Saccharomyces cerevisiae S288C: one gene and its partners. The protein of the gene in region 3 binds, or shares a complex with, the protein of the main gene of each other region. Each region holds a gene or a part of one and is shown on either strand. Other genes may lie near its edges. The genes, in order: ARC18, ARC19, ARC40 and ARP3.

Evidence for each region.
Region 1: ARC40 (region 3) and ARC18 share a complex: the UniProt entries of both Saccharomyces cerevisiae proteins name them as parts of the arp2/3 complex.
Region 2: ARC40 (region 3) and ARC19 share a complex: the UniProt entries of both Saccharomyces cerevisiae proteins name them as parts of the arp2/3 complex.
Region 4: ARC40 (region 3) and ARP3 share a complex: the UniProt entries of both Saccharomyces cerevisiae proteins name them as parts of the arp2/3 complex.

What each region holds. Positions count from the first base shown.
Region 1 is NC_001144.5:861,218-864,684, forward strand, and holds ARC18 (Arc18p), read right to left. Parts: upstream 1,038-3,467; coding exon 501-1,037; downstream 1-500. Other genes in the region: Hsp70 family ATPase SSQ1, read left to right, coding at 1-308; Rho family guanine nucleotide exchange factor ROM2, read left to right, coding at 1,497-3,467. UniProt on the Saccharomyces cerevisiae protein: Functions as a component of the Arp2/3 complex which is involved in regulation of actin polymerization and together with an activating nucleation-promoting factor (NPF) mediates the formation of branched actin networks.
Region 2 is NC_001143.9:416,562-419,926, forward strand, and holds ARC19 (Arc19p), read right to left. Parts: upstream 1,463-3,365; coding exon 947-1,462; downstream 1-946. Other genes in the region: URB1 (Urb1p), read right to left, coding at 1-352; snoRNA-splicing protein PRP40, read left to right, coding at 1,749-3,365. UniProt on the Saccharomyces cerevisiae protein: Functions as actin-binding component of the Arp2/3 complex which is involved in regulation of actin polymerization and together with an activating nucleation-promoting factor (NPF) mediates the formation of branched actin networks.
Region 3 is NC_001134.8:684,744-688,995, forward strand, and holds ARC40 (Arc40p), read right to left. Parts: upstream 1,850-4,252; coding exon 695-1,849; downstream 1-694. Other genes in the region: DAD3 (Dad3p), read left to right, coding at 234-518; VHC1 (Vhc1p), read left to right, coding at 2,158-4,252. UniProt on the Saccharomyces cerevisiae protein: Functions as a component of the Arp2/3 complex which is involved in regulation of actin polymerization and together with an activating nucleation-promoting factor (NPF) mediates the formation of branched actin networks.
Region 4 is NC_001142.9:556,745-561,262, forward strand, and holds ARP3 (actin-related protein 3), read right to left. Parts: upstream 2,415-4,518; coding exon 1,065-2,414; downstream 1-1,064. Other genes in the region: chaperonin-containing T-complex subunit CCT5, read left to right, coding at 1-858; phosphatidylinositol kinase-related protein kinase TOR1, read left to right, coding at 2,672-4,518. UniProt on the Saccharomyces cerevisiae protein: Functions as ATP-binding component of the Arp2/3 complex which is involved in regulation of actin polymerization and together with an activating nucleation-promoting factor (NPF) mediates the formation of branched actin networks.

The DNA of each region.
Region 1 (3,467 bases), on a different chromosome or scaffold from region 3:
ATGCAAATAGGGCACAAGATAACTTGATCAGGCAAAGGTTAGAGCTTATCTCTAAGGCTGACATTATGATAAGTGATACTGAGAATTTATTTAAAAGATATGAAAAACTGATTTCTAGCGAAAAAGAGTATTCTAATATCGTAGAGGACATCAAAGCTCTGAGACAAGCTATAAAGAATTTTAAGGCTAACGAAAATGACATGTCAATTGATGTAAACGGAATAAAAAAAGCTACGGATGCGCTACAGGGTAGGGCATTAAAATTATTCCAAAGCGCAACAAAAAACCAGCAGAATCAAGGTAAATAAGTGAACAAAACACAAATAAGACTTGTATATTAACGTGTATATCGTTCATTAAAGCATATTTTGACGTATTTATACTTTATACATTTATATATTTCTTTCCCGTTTCAAATTTTCGGTTCAAATAAAGTTGCATGTGGATTATTATGTTCCCATAAATTCTAGTTTTTATTATTTTCCTTGCACCGTATACCTTTATAGAGATTTGTTCATGAATCTTCTTCTTGTGAACGCCAACCAAAACTTTGAGGGATATTCCTTAGAATCTGTAGAGCTATAGACTCTTTCTAATAGTCTCATTGCCAATTCTTGACGGAATTGCTGAATATAAGTCTTCAACAAGTCCATCGAATTATGATCTTGTACTGGAACTTGGTAAACATTATTCAGAGGGAAACCCGGTGTACCTGGTAAAGTAAAGTTGTCCAAGGCCACATTGGTTAACACTTTGACGGCTTCGTTAAATGACGTTGTTATTTTCAAATGGGCTAGGCAATCATTGATAAAGAGAATTCCGTAGATGAGCACTCTGTCGGCGGGTGATTTAATTTCAAAATTCTTGAAGAAGGAATTGGCACGAAATAGGTCCAAGCACTCGTCGATAATATCGTAATCGGAATTGCTGGGGTATGCAGGACCCCTGAACTTAGTGTTCAAGGGCAGAAGCGCAAAGTTCCCTACCATGCGGTCAGTGTTAGGATCTACAGGGAAAGTCGAGTGATACGCAGGCATTTATTAATATACTGGGAGTGGAGAGACTGATAATACCAATAATCTTCCTTTATTGATGTTTGTTACTGCGCACCAAGTGTTTAATTTATTGTTATTCATTGTTATACTAAACCAAACCGCAACGGAAAGGATAGGGGTTCGTGGTGGATGATCCGCGTAACGGCCGAGTCTGTGAAACTGAGAGAGAATGATAGTGAAAACAATGGTATGGAAGTCCGAGGTCCTAAGGCTTGAAGAAAGTTTTTAAAGGGCATTATGACCAGTGAGTACTGACGACCTAATTTAATAACAGTATTGAGCCGATTAGGTTTTCCTGGATTTTTTTTTTGCTGTTTTATAGCTATTTTTTTATTTGTTGTTTGTGGTCATTAATATATTCATTCGCTCTGTTAGTGTAATCGATTACAGTGCTCTATTACTGCTGACTTAATTGGACAATTCATCTCTTTTCCTGCGGTTATGAGCGAAACCAACGTTGACAGCTTAGGGGACAGAAATGACATATACTCCCAAATATTTGGTGTAGAAAGGAGGCCAGATTCCTTCGCTACTTTTGATAGTGACTCGCACGGAGACATAAGTTCTCAGCTGCTGCCTAATAGAATCGAAAATATCCAGAATCTAAATGTTCTGCTTTCTGAAGACATTGCTAATGACATCATTATTGCCAAGCAGAGGAGACGTTCTGGAGTTGAAGCCGCCATCGATGATTCTGATATACCAAATAACGAAATGAAGGGGAAAAGCTCAAATTACATTTTATCGCAGCAGACTAATATTAAGGAAGTTCCAGATACACAAAGTTTGTCTAGTGCTGATAATACACCTGTGAGCAGTCCAAAGAAGGCAAGAGATGCCACATCTTCCCATCCCATTGTTCATGCTAAATCGATGTCCCATATATATTCAACGAGTAATAGTGCTAGTAGACAAGCCAAGCACTATAATGACCACCCTTTGCCTCCAATGTCTCCAAGAAATGAAGTTTACCAGAAGAATAAAAGTACTACAGCTTTTGTGCCTAAGAGGAAACCTTCGCTCCCGCAACTAGCACTTGCTGGTCTTAAGAAGCAGAGCAGTTTTTCCACCGGCAGTGCATCAACCACTCCTACACAGGCTAGAAAATCGCCTTTGCAAGGGTTTGGTTTCTTTTCGAGACCAAGTTCCAAAGACTTGCACGAACAGCACCAACATCACCAGCATATTCAGCATAATAATATTAACAATCATAATAATAATAATACTAATAATAATGGCGCACATTATCAAGTGGGTAGTAGTAACAGTAATTACCCTCAACATTCACATTCTATATCATCTAGATCGATGTCGTTGAACTCATCTACTCTAAAAAATATTGCATCATCTTTTCAATCGAAGACTTCTAACAGCAGGAAAGCTACGCAAAAATATGATATAACTTCCAACCCATTCTCAGATCCTCATCATCATCATCATCATCATCACTCTTCAAACAGTCACAGTAGCCTAAATAATGTCCACGGGTCTGGAAACTCCTCAAGTGTTATGGGAAGCTCGTCTAATATTGGGTTGGGTCTTAAAACGAGAGTTTCTTCCACCTCATTAGCTTTAAAAAGATACACTTCGGTTTCAGGAACTTCTCTATCTTCTCCACGTAGAAGTAGTATGACACCTTTGTCGGCATCTAGACCTGTTATGAGCGCTTCATCAAAAAAACCTCAGGTATATCCAGCTTTGTTGTCAAGAGTCGCCACAAAATTTAAAAGTTCGATACAACTCGGGGAACATAAGAAGGATGGATTAGTTTACCGTGACGCATTTACAGGGCAGCAGGCAGTCGATGTCATCTGTGCTATCATTAGAACTTCTGATAGAAACTTAGCCTTGTTATTTGGTAGATCACTAGATGCACAAAAGCTGTTCCATGATGTGGTATACGAGCACAGGTTAAGAGATTCACCACATGAAGTTTACGAATTTACAGATAACTCAAGATTTACAGGAACAGGTTCCACAAACGCCCATGATCCACTGATGCTACTCCCAAACTCATCATCTTTTAATTCCGGGAACCACTCTTATCCGAATTCCGGAATGGTTCCATCAAGTTCAACTTCATCTTTGAATAGTGATCAGGCAACTTTGACAGGGTCGAGGCTACATATGAGTAGTTCATTGTCCCAGCAAAAGAACCCTGCAGCCATTCATAACGTCAATGGTGTGTTTACATTACTGGCGGAATGCTATTCCCCTACGTGCACAAGAGACGCTTTGTGTTACTCTATTTCGTGTCCAAGACGTCTTGAGCAACAAGCAAGGTTAAATCTGAAACCAAATGGCGGCCTGAAACGTAATATATCAATGGCATTGGATGATGATGACGAAGAAAAGCCATCTTGGACAAGTTCCGTATCTAAAGAGGATTGGGAAAACTTACCAAAAAAGGAA
Region 2 (3,365 bases), on a different chromosome or scaffold from region 3:
GAACTTTTGTGTAATCGGTCAATATCAATCTAATTAGACCGCTCCCAATAGTCACTGTACTAGTATCAGATGACAAAACTCGTAAGGTTTTAGTCAGTAATGAGGTAGTTTTCGAGAATTTCCCATGGTTATTTACTTGAGCATAATATGACCAAGTCTGTACCAATTGAGCACCAAATCCTCTTTGGAAGAACACTATTAGAGGTTGGTAATCTTTGGAGAGAGTTTCATCTTCGACTGCACTGATTATACTTTCTAGTGTTTCTAATGTACCGTCTTCGAACTCTTTCCCTTGGGTGTACTTCTCCCTTCTCTGGTCGCGAGATCCATAGGCTTCGCTATGATTACTCATTATGTAAGTGCTCCTCTAGTTCTGTTAGATGAAGTAGTACCGCATAGATTAGAGAAATAATATCCAATCAAGAATATAACCGAACTATTCTTTGCGATGAGCTTTATTGCTGAAATTTTTCATATTTCGTCTACAGTGATATAATATTGAAATCCTCATGCAAGTCGTGCATAGGTAAAAGCTGTTTACTATATGTTGGTGCACTATTATCATATAATTTTAGTTTGGTCGTATACTAGTGCGGCAGTAATAATAAATGCTTTAGAATCTTCAATCTTCATTTGTTTACGTAAAATGAAAACGTTTTGTGTTAGAATTGACAGATTGAAGTTTAATTTTAGGTGTCGGGAGAAACATTTTAATCCCTTTTTATGAATATAATTTAAGTACTAAAAAAATCACCATAATTATACAAAGTAACTGCAATTTAAAAGTACGTTTATAATTAATTCACATACACATGTTATTGTATCTAACTAAATAGTCTCGAAATAGTTCAATTGAGTACGCAAACTAACACAGTCAGTACAGATCGTAAAGTTTTCCGTCAATAGGGCCCTGACGGAGAAAGATTCCCTTTCCTATATTAGGAATCTAATAGACAAATTCATCAAGATATGCTTCCGCAACAAATCTTGCTCTGGCATTCAAAAACAGTTTAATTTCACTGATTTCCTTATCCACGTCCTCCATGAATTCAATAATAAAATCAACCAATTTCCCAGTTTTCATTGATTCAGTATGCTTATTAGTTATTAGAAAAGAAATACTGTAGCCAGGTATTGGTACACGTCTCAGAATGTAGAATGCTTCAGCACGCTGTTCCAAAAATCTAGTAAACTTGTGAACTAAAATCTGCTCAATTTCATCTGCCTGTTTCACCATTAAACTCATACGCACCGAGTTTACACTGGGCTCAATCAATACTTGTTCATTTTCATTACGAGATATATGCATCGGTTGGAGCAACAATTCGGCGCTAGTGTTAGGGACTTCAACTTCCGGTCTGTTGTGCCTCTCCACTTCCTGCGAAGAGAAATTGCTCAAAGTCAACGCAGCTTCCAGGGAATAACGAACAGCCGTTAGATACGGACGTAATGATTGTGACATTTCCTACTATCAGTTGCTTCCTCTTTTATCTTTTGTCAAAGTGACACCGAGTTGTTCCGAAAGCCTCTATTTGCTTGGCTTTACAGGCTTTTTTTGTTCTATAATTGTATTTTGCTATACAAAAGGGGCGACGTGGTAAACGATATGAAATTATCGACAATAATAATGTACTTGGAAATCTGGCAGTTGATGACATCGCAATAGCGTGCCTACCTATCAGGATAACAAGGTCTGAAGCCAGATCGACCACTAGACAAGCATTGCCGGAGGTGGGAGACGTGAAACTATGTCTATTTGGAAGGAAGCTAAAGATGCAAGTGGAAGGATATATTATTACAATACTTTGACAAAGAAATCTACGTGGGAGAAGCCCAAGGAACTAATTTCTCAGGAGGAGCTACTTCTTCGAGAAAATGGCTGGAAGGCGGCCAAGACGGCAGACGGCAAAGTATACTATTATAATCCAACAACAAGAGAAACCAGCTGGACTATTCCGGCCTTCGAGAAGAAAGTAGAACCCATCGCAGAACAAAAACATGATACAGTATCCCATGCACAGGTTAATGGAAATAGAATAGCCCTTACGGCTGGAGAAAAACAAGAGCCGGGACGAACTATAAACGAGGAGGAAAGCCAATATGCTAATAACTCTAAACTGCTTAATGTCAGGAGAAGGACTAAAGAAGAAGCAGAGAAGGAATTTATTACCATGCTGAAGGAAAATCAAGTAGACTCTACTTGGTCATTCAGTAGAATTATTTCAGAACTGGGGACCAGAGATCCAAGGTATTGGATGGTCGATGATGACCCCTTATGGAAGAAAGAAATGTTTGAGAAATATCTTTCCAATAGATCAGCCGATCAACTTCTTAAGGAACACAATGAAACAAGCAAATTCAAAGAAGCCTTTCAGAAAATGTTGCAAAACAATTCTCATATAAAATATTACACCCGTTGGCCTACCGCAAAGAGACTAATTGCCGACGAACCAATATACAAACACTCCGTGGTCAATGAAAAGACAAAGAGACAGACCTTTCAAGATTATATAGATACCCTCATCGACACTCAGAAAGAATCAAAAAAAAAATTGAAAACACAGGCCCTAAAAGAACTAAGAGAGTATTTAAACGGTATTATAACAACATCATCCTCTGAAACTTTCATAACCTGGCAGCAGCTTTTAAATCACTATGTTTTTGATAAGAGTAAGAGATATATGGCGAACCGGCACTTCAAAGTCTTAACCCACGAAGATGTTTTAAACGAGTATCTGAAAATAGTAAATACGATTGAAAACGATCTTCAAAACAAACTAAATGAGCTCCGACTGCGCAATTATACCAGAGACCGTATTGCTAGAGATAACTTTAAAAGCTTATTAAGAGAAGTGCCAATCAAAATCAAAGCAAATACTAGATGGTCAGATATTTATCCTCATATAAAGTCTGATCCGCGCTTTTTACATATGCTTGGAAGGAATGGCTCGTCCTGCCTTGATTTATTTTTAGATTTTGTTGATGAACAAAGGATGTACATCTTTGCACAAAGATCAATAGCCCAACAGACGTTGATAGATCAAAATTTTGAATGGAATGATGCCGATAGCGACGAGATCACCAAGCAAAACATAGAAAAAGTTCTGGAAAATGACCGGAAATTTGACAAGGTGGATAAAGAAGACATCAGTTTGATTGTTGATGGTTTGATAAAGCAAAGAAACGAAAAGATACAACAGAAACTCCAAAATGAGCGTAGGATATTGGAGCAAAAGAAGCACTATTTTTGGTTACTTTTGCAAAGGACATATACAAAAACCGGTAAGCCCAAGCCTAGTACGTGGGATTTAGCTTCCAAAGAGCTTGGCGAATCTCTTGAATACAAGGCACTAGGCGATGAAGAT
Region 3 (4,252 bases):
AAGGTAATAAATTGAATGAATGTAGATATATAAATATCAATAGAAATACGTACGCGGAATTATTTCTCTTTGTAACAAATTGATCAAAAGCTTTGTATTTTTTTTTTTTTTAGCTCGGCTGCGCGCTATTACAGTAATTACATGTAAATAAACTATTCCAAAGAATACAAAAGAAGAGCTTACAGTAGCCAGTCAAAGTCGCTGTGAAACATACACGGCGTTGTAGTCACAGTATGGAACACAATCTTTCACCTTTACAGCAAGAAGTATTGGACAAATACAAACAGCTTTCTTTAGATCTAAAAGCTCTGGATGAAACTATAAAAGAACTAAACTATTCGCAACACAGGCAACAGCATTCACAGCAAGAAACTGTATCGCCAGATGAGATACTACAGGAGATGAGGGACATAGAGGTCAAAATTGGTTTAGTTGGGACACTGCTAAAAGGTAGCGTGTACTCGCTTATCTTGCAAAGAAAGCAAGAACAGGAGTCTTTGGGTAGCAATTCTAAATAATGGTTTGGTGCAAGAAATTGATTCTGATGCTTTATTTTTTACGGTACACTACATTGTGCTGTGAGTTGTAATAATATAGTCTGTATATGCCAAGTGAAGAAAAAAACAATACAAACTCAAGGTGTATTATGAGGTAGGGAATACACATAACAATATATATATATACGTATGTATATTTAAATTGTATAAATGACGATCTTACCGTCTAACCCACAGGAAGAGACTTGTGTGATTTGGCCGTTGGATTCCGCAAAAGGTCTTAATTCCACAATGGCGTTTTCATGTGCACTTTCTTGGACATCTGTGCTAACTTTACCTTTCAAGTCTAATTCTTTAAACTTTCTCAATGCGGAAATACCGAAAGTTGAACTTTCATCATTATTACCACTCAGCTCGTCTGTATTACCAGATGCAGTTAAGGCAGAAGACTTGTTATTGTCTGATTTGTCTAGATTCTTCGCAAATTTCCAGCCTTCAGAGGCTTCGCTGAACAATACCGGATGACAAGAGTATCCTCCACAAACAATCTCGTGGTCGTTTATCCATACTAAGGACCTGTAAGGTAAACCTTCCGGAGCATTGACAGATTGCACTGGAGATTGGTAATCGACAACATTCAAAGTACCATCATGCGCTACATAAGCAATTCTTTCCATCTGACTTCTCCATTCCACATCATGGATATAAGAACCCTGATACCACTCCCTGATTAAACAACCAAAAGGGAATTTCTGGCCCCAGGGTGATCCGGCGACGGATTCCTTGGAATCCAAACCCTTGATAAACCCGCTGAACACACGCATAAACCCATCAGTACCACCAGCAGCTAATAGGACTCCATTTGCATGCCAAGACAGGCAATTGATGGTAGATTTGATGGGTTTCTTGATGTGCTTGGATACCCACCAATTATTCTCGTGTTCGTAATAACAAACAGCGATGATTCTAGCACTGGACCCAACAGCAAACTTATAACCATTTGGTGCCCATGTAACTGAAGTAGCTGCTCTGTTAATACGAAGAAGTACTAACGTGGGCTTGTATGTCCCATCACTCAATGGCTCCCAAACGTAAGCATTACGGTCTTGGGAGCAAGTCACAATACGACCATGTATGGAAATGTCCACAGCAGTAATGGTTTTATCATGATCTTTCAACGTTGCGAATAAAACGGGAGGTGTGTTGTTTGAAACTCTATAGACAAGACAATCTGTTTCGCATGTAACGGCTAAAATAGATTTATCTTGAGAAAAGCAATGAGAGTAGATTGGCGCTTTGACCAGCTTGTAGACGGCAACAACGGACTTGTCTTTAGAATTGGAAAATGACATTAGGAGACTCTCAACTAATATACGTTTACTTCGGCTTATTTTTCCTATTTTTCTTTGTTTCTAATCTGGAAGCTTTCTCGATCAAGATTGCTCTTATTTGACCCTTTTTCATTATAGGCAAGGCGCGGGCGGGTGACAAGAAGATTTTGATAATTGTGCAACTGATAACGTAGGATTCATTATCAACATTGTTGTTAAAGAGTAACAAGGAAATCTAAGAAATGGTTGTGCTTGTTGTCGAAGAAGTGATAGAGACAGTGTTTTTGCCAGCCAATTCTCTTTAAGAATAGGCCTTTCTTGTAGGATTAATGGTTAGTAGGTTTTATCAGATTCCAGGTACGCATCGGCCATCGTCGGCAATATCTTCTTCAAATGAATCTTCTTCACTGTTGTCTGCAAGGAGAATAAGTCAAACATATTTCAATTATCAGGCGACCCCTGAATGCCAAAAAGTTTCCTCTAAGTATGATCCTGATAACCCAAACAAAGATAAGTTGGGAACATACGATGGGGTATTTGTGCCTACTGCTTTAAACGTATTGTCTATCCTTATGTTTCTTCGTTTTGGCTTCATTTTGGGTCAGTTAGGTATTATATGCACCATCGGTCTTCTGCTATTGAGTTACACTATTAATCTTCTCACCACGTTAAGTATATCTGCTATATCTACAAACGGGACTGTTAGGGGCGGGGGTGCTTATTATATGATTTCAAGAAGTTTAGGACCTGAATTTGGTGGATCCATTGGGCTTGTCTTTTTCTTAGGGCAGGTGTTCAATGCAGGTATGAACGCAGTGGGTATTATCGAACCTTTACTCTATAACTTGGGTTATTCTGCTCAAGGCGAGCCACCTGCAGCTTTGGGAGAGCTACTACCAAGAGGGCATTGGCACGAATTTACATATGCCACGGTCATTCTTTTCTTATGTTTTTCTGTGGCTTTTGTTGGCTCGCAAACAGTGTCAAGAGCAGGGAATATTCTTTTTTTGGTACTGGCAGCTTCTATATTTTCCATTCCACTTTCTGCATTGATAAGATCGCCATTCACTGAAGGCGGTATCAGTTATACAGGTCCTTCATGGCAAACTTTTCATGATAACCTGCTCCCTCACTTAACAAAAGGTGCAGCAGGTTCGTTACTCAAAGGTAAGGAAACATTCAATGATTTATTTGGCGTTTTTTTTCCTGCTACAGCTGGTATATTCGCGGGCGCAGGAATGTCAAGTGAATTGAGAAAGCCCTCTAAATCAATTCCTAAGGGTACCTTATGGGGTTTACTTTTCACTTTTATCTGTTATGCCGTTGTTGTCTTCTCCATGGGTTGTTCCATTCCCAGAAGATCGTTATATGATGAAGTACAAATTATACAGACGATCAGTTCCGTTCAGTGGGTTATATTCATGGGTGAAATGGCTACTTCTCTTTTCTCCATCATAGTGGGGATGCTCGGTGCTGCTTATGTATTAGAAGCAATTGCAAAGGATAACATTATTCCTGGTTTGGAGATTTTTGCTCATTCACCGTTATATTCATTGATTTTTACTTGGATTCTAACACAGCTATGTTTGTTTTCAGACGTCAATAAAATCGCCACATTTATCACAATGACATTCTTAATGACGTTTGTGGTCATGAATTTGGCGTGCTTCCTATTAGGTATTTCCTCTGCTCCCAATTTCAGGCCCTCTTTCAAATACTTTAACAGGTATACTACAGCAATTGGCGCATTACTTTCTGTTGTTGCGATGTTAATAGTTGATGGCATCTCAGCGTCTGTCTTGTTTTTGGCTATGATTTTGCTATTTTTATTCATTCATTATTTTTCACCACCGAAGTCTTGGGGTGATGTGTCTCAAAGTTTAATATATCATCAAGTGAGAAAGTATTTGCTTCGCCTACGTCAAGACAATATTAAATACTGGAGGCCTCAAATATTGCTGTTTGTAGATAATCCAAGGACGAGCTGGAACTTAATAAGGTTTTGCAATCATTTGAAAAAAGGTGGTTTGTATATTTTAGGCCATGTTGCAGTAACTGCGGATTTTCCGAAGCAACTAAATGAATTAAAAACTCAGCAGAAAGCTTGGATGAAGATCAGAGACATGGCAGCAATAAAGGCTTTTGTCCAAGTTGGGACTGGTCCCTCCCTTATATGGGGAATTAGGAATGTTTTTATTGGTTCCGGGCTTGGAGGTATGAAACCAAACATTACTGTTGTCGGTTTTTTTGACCTCGAAAGTTATAGAAAGCACATCCCACAAAGTCGCAGCCAAAATAACCTTCAGAAACAGGTGGAAATAAAAGCTACAGTGCCACGTAGTACATGCTCTGATGTCAAAATCAATGTTCCATTGCCTACGGATGAGTGTAAAAATGAAACCAAAGTTAATGTACAACAATGGG
Region 4 (4,518 bases), on a different chromosome or scaffold from region 3:
CCTCCTAAACCAAAGACCAAGCATAAATTAGACATTTCTTCAGTAGAAGAATACCAAAAATTACAGACTTATGAACAAGATAAGTTCAAAGAAATGATAGACGATGTGAAGAAAGCGGGCGCAGATGTTGTTATATGCCAATGGGGGTTTGACGATGAGGCCAATCATCTACTTCTACAGAATGATTTACCTGCCGTAAGATGGGTAGGTGGCCAAGAACTAGAACACATTGCCATTTCCACAAACGGTCGCATTGTTCCAAGATTTCAAGACTTGTCTAAGGATAAATTAGGTACATGTTCCAGAATTTACGAGCAGGAGTTTGGTACTACTAAGGATCGTATGCTGATTATCGAGCAAAGTAAAGAAACAAAAACTGTAACATGTTTTGTTCGCGGTTCCAATAAAATGATCGTGGATGAAGCTGAACGTGCATTGCATGACTCACTATGTGTGGTACGTAACTTGGTTAAAGACTCACGTGTAGTTTACGGTGGGGGAGCAGCCGAAGTGACTATGTCCCTGGCTGTCTCTGAGGAAGCTGATAAGCAACGTGGTATTGATCAGTATGCATTCCGTGGATTCGCCCAAGCGTTAGACACCATTCCAATGACTTTGGCTGAAAATTCTGGTCTTGATCCAATCGGAACTTTGTCTACATTGAAAAGTAAACAACTGAAAGAAAAGATTTCCAACATTGGTGTCGATTGCTTAGGTTACGGGTCTAATGACATGAAGGAACTATTTGTCGTTGATCCATTTATTGGCAAAAAGCAGCAAATTCTTTTAGCTACTCAATTATGTAGAATGATTTTAAAGATTGATAACGTCATCATTAGTGGTAAAGATGAGTATTGATTTTGTATAAATAAATAATAAAAGATAAGTTTTAATCACATATCCCACAATTTTTTTTCTCAGATCAGCATTTGGGGTTACTTGATTGTACATATACGTGTATATAATCAGTTGTATACGTATATTTAAATGAAGTGAGGGGCGTTTCAGTTATTTGCATTTGTTTTTGTACCTTTTTCCTTATAAGATGAGTCATGACTCAATAATCAAACCATGTTGAAAAGGCTGAAATTTCTAACAATTTCCGGACCATATTCCTCATAATCTTTCTTAGTGTGACAGTAGCCTTTGAATTCGGCTGTTTGTGCCAGCAGCGAGCCACCAAACCAGACAGCGTTTCTCTGCTTCCGATGAGAAATCACGGAAACATCTACACCAGTCGATTTAGTTCCACTTAACAGCTCACTTTGTGCGATTCTGTTATTTACGATAGACTTTAGATCTCTTTGTAAACGACGTCCAAAATCTTTGAACATGGTAGACCCACCTGATAGTACAATATTGTTGTATAAACCTTTACGGACGTCAATAGGGCAAGCCTGGATAGTTTGATCCACTACCGTGGGTAAAGGAGTCAAGAAGTCTGAGGATGCAATTTCTGGATTGAAGAAGATTTCAGGTGCTAAGAATCTTTCGTAACCAATATCTACGACTTTTCTCCTTGTCTTTTCTTGGTTTTCCACCACAAATTGGGCAAATTTAGAAGGATCTTTATCGAATTTGTTAAACTCCTTTACAATATCTGGACAGACGTAACAGTATTCTTGCTTAATCTTTTCGGCAGTTCTCAAGGAAGTGTCTGCTTCACCACGTTCTCTTAGCAAGGATTGGATGAACAATGTGATGTCTCTACCGGCTATTGGAATGTTTTTAATTGCTGAGCCAATGACGTAACCTTCCGCCACTGGGATGACGTGGGTGACACCATCACCAGAATCTATAACAGTACCAGTTAATGATCTATCCGTGACTTTTGAAGAGGTCCATGACGCAGCCAGAGCCAAAACTGCTTGCACAGCAATATATAGACCAGCACAATTAAATGATTCAAAAAAAATCTCCGCCACTTGCTCTCTGTTTTCTGGAGGATTCAGTGGTGGTTCGGTCAATAGGAAAAAATGATCTTCAGGCTCTGTTCTTAAATACTTGAAGATGGAATTTTCCCAGAATCTTTCCATGTGATCCCAATTTTCCACTTGACCGTGTCTGATTGGATAGCTCAAAGAGTAAGAGGGTCCTTGGGATGCTACTAAAGCCTCATTTCCAATATAGAAATCCAAATCTTCTGTACCTCTTTTACCGGATAAATTATTAGACAGCAAACCACCTGTTGCACCATTGAAATTGGTTGCAGAGGTGGAATTTCCAAAGTATGATGCTTCATTACTAACTGCTGAGGGCGCACCAACGCCCGAGGACTTCTTTGTATTTGAAGGTGCAGCTGTGGCTATTGCAGTAGGGAAGACCCAGGAGGGAGAATCATTACCGGCGAAACCGAGCTTGGTCAGCCCGGTACCATTGTCCATGACAACAGCGGGATTGTTTAAGTATGACATTGAATCCTAATTTCTTGCTCAATCGTGAGGCCTTACGGTAGGGCCAATTCTTGATTAAACTACTCTCATATATTTTTGTTTGAAACTTTTGAAAAGGGGTTCTCGCCATTTTGAAGCCGCGGACAGCCGGGTGACTACTGAAAGTCCTTATCGAAGGGTCTTCTTGAGCTTACGTTAAAAAAGAGCCATAGTAGCTTCACGAGAGAGTCATTGGTAAAGTGAAACATACATCAACCGGCTAGCAGGTTTGCATTGATATGGAACCGCATGAGGAGCAGATTTGGAAGAGTAAACTTTTGAAAGCGGCTAACAACGATATGGACATGGATAGAAATGTGCCGTTGGCACCGAATCTGAATGTGAATATGAACATGAAAATGAATGCGAGCAGGAACGGGGATGAATTCGGTCTGACTTCTAGTAGGTTTGATGGAGTGGTGATTGGCAGTAATGGGGATGTAAATTTTAAGCCCATTTTGGAGAAAATTTTCCGCGAATTAACCAGTGATTACAAGGAGGAACGAAAATTGGCCAGTATTTCATTATTTGATCTACTAGTATCCTTGGAACATGAATTGTCGATAGAAGAGTTCCAAGCAGTTTCAAATGACATAAACAATAAGATTTTGGAGCTGGTCCATACAAAAAAAACGAGCACTAGGGTAGGGGCTGTTCTATCCATAGACACTTTGATTTCATTCTACGCATATACTGAAAGGTTGCCTAACGAAACTTCACGACTGGCTGGTTACCTTCGAGGGCTAATACCTTCTAATGATGTAGAGGTCATGAGACTCGCTGCAAAGACTCTGGGCAAGTTAGCCGTTCCAGGAGGTACATATACCTCTGATTTCGTGGAATTTGAGATAAAGTCTTGCTTAGAATGGCTTACTGCCTCCACGGAAAAGAATTCATTCTCGAGTTCGAAGCCAGACCATGCTAAACATGCTGCGCTTCTGATTATAACAGCGTTGGCAGAGAATTGTCCTTATTTACTCTACCAATACTTGAATTCCATACTAGATAACATTTGGAGAGCACTAAGAGACCCACATTTGGTGATCAGAATTGATGCGTCCATTACATTGGCCAAATGTCTTTCCACCCTACGAAATAGGGATCCTCAGTTAACTAGCCAGTGGGTGCAGAGATTGGCTACAAGTTGTGAATACGGATTTCAAGTAAACACATTAGAATGCATCCATGCAAGTTTGTTGGTTTATAAGGAAATCTTGTTTTTGAAGGATCCCTTTTTGAATCAAGTGTTCGACCAAATGTGTCTAAATTGCATAGCTTATGAAAATCATAAAGCGAAAATGATTAGAGAAAAGATTTACCAGATTGTTCCCCTATTAGCATCGTTCAATCCTCAATTATTTGCTGGCAAATATTTGCACCAAATTATGGACAACTATTTAGAGATTTTAACCAATGCTCCAGCAAATAAAATACCACATCTCAAAGATGACAAACCACAGATTTTAATATCGATTGGTGATATTGCATATGAAGTCGGGCCCGATATCGCACCTTATGTGAAACAAATTCTTGATTATATTGAACATGATTTACAGACGAAATTCAAATTCAGAAAGAAATTTGAAAATGAAATTTTCTACTGCATCGGAAGATTGGCAGTTCCCTTGGGCCCCGTTCTAGGTAAATTATTAAACAGAAATATACTGGACCTGATGTTCAAATGCCCTCTTTCCGACTATATGCAGGAAACGTTTCAAATTCTGACTGAGAGAATACCATCACTAGGCCCCAAAATAAATGACGAGTTGCTTAACCTAGTCTGTTCAACCTTATCTGGAACACCATTTATCCAGCCAGGGTCACCAATGGAGATACCATCGTTTTCGAGAGAAAGAGCAAGAGAATGGAGAAATAAAAACATCCTACAGAAAACTGGTGAAAGTAACGATGATAATAATGATATAAAAATCATTATACAAGCTTTTAGAATGTTAAAAAATATCAAAAGCAGATTTTCGTTGGTGGAATTCGTGAGAATTGTTGCACTTTCTTACATTGAGCATACAGATCCCAGAGTAAGGAAACTAGCTGCGTTGACATCTTGTGAAATTTACGTCAAGGATAA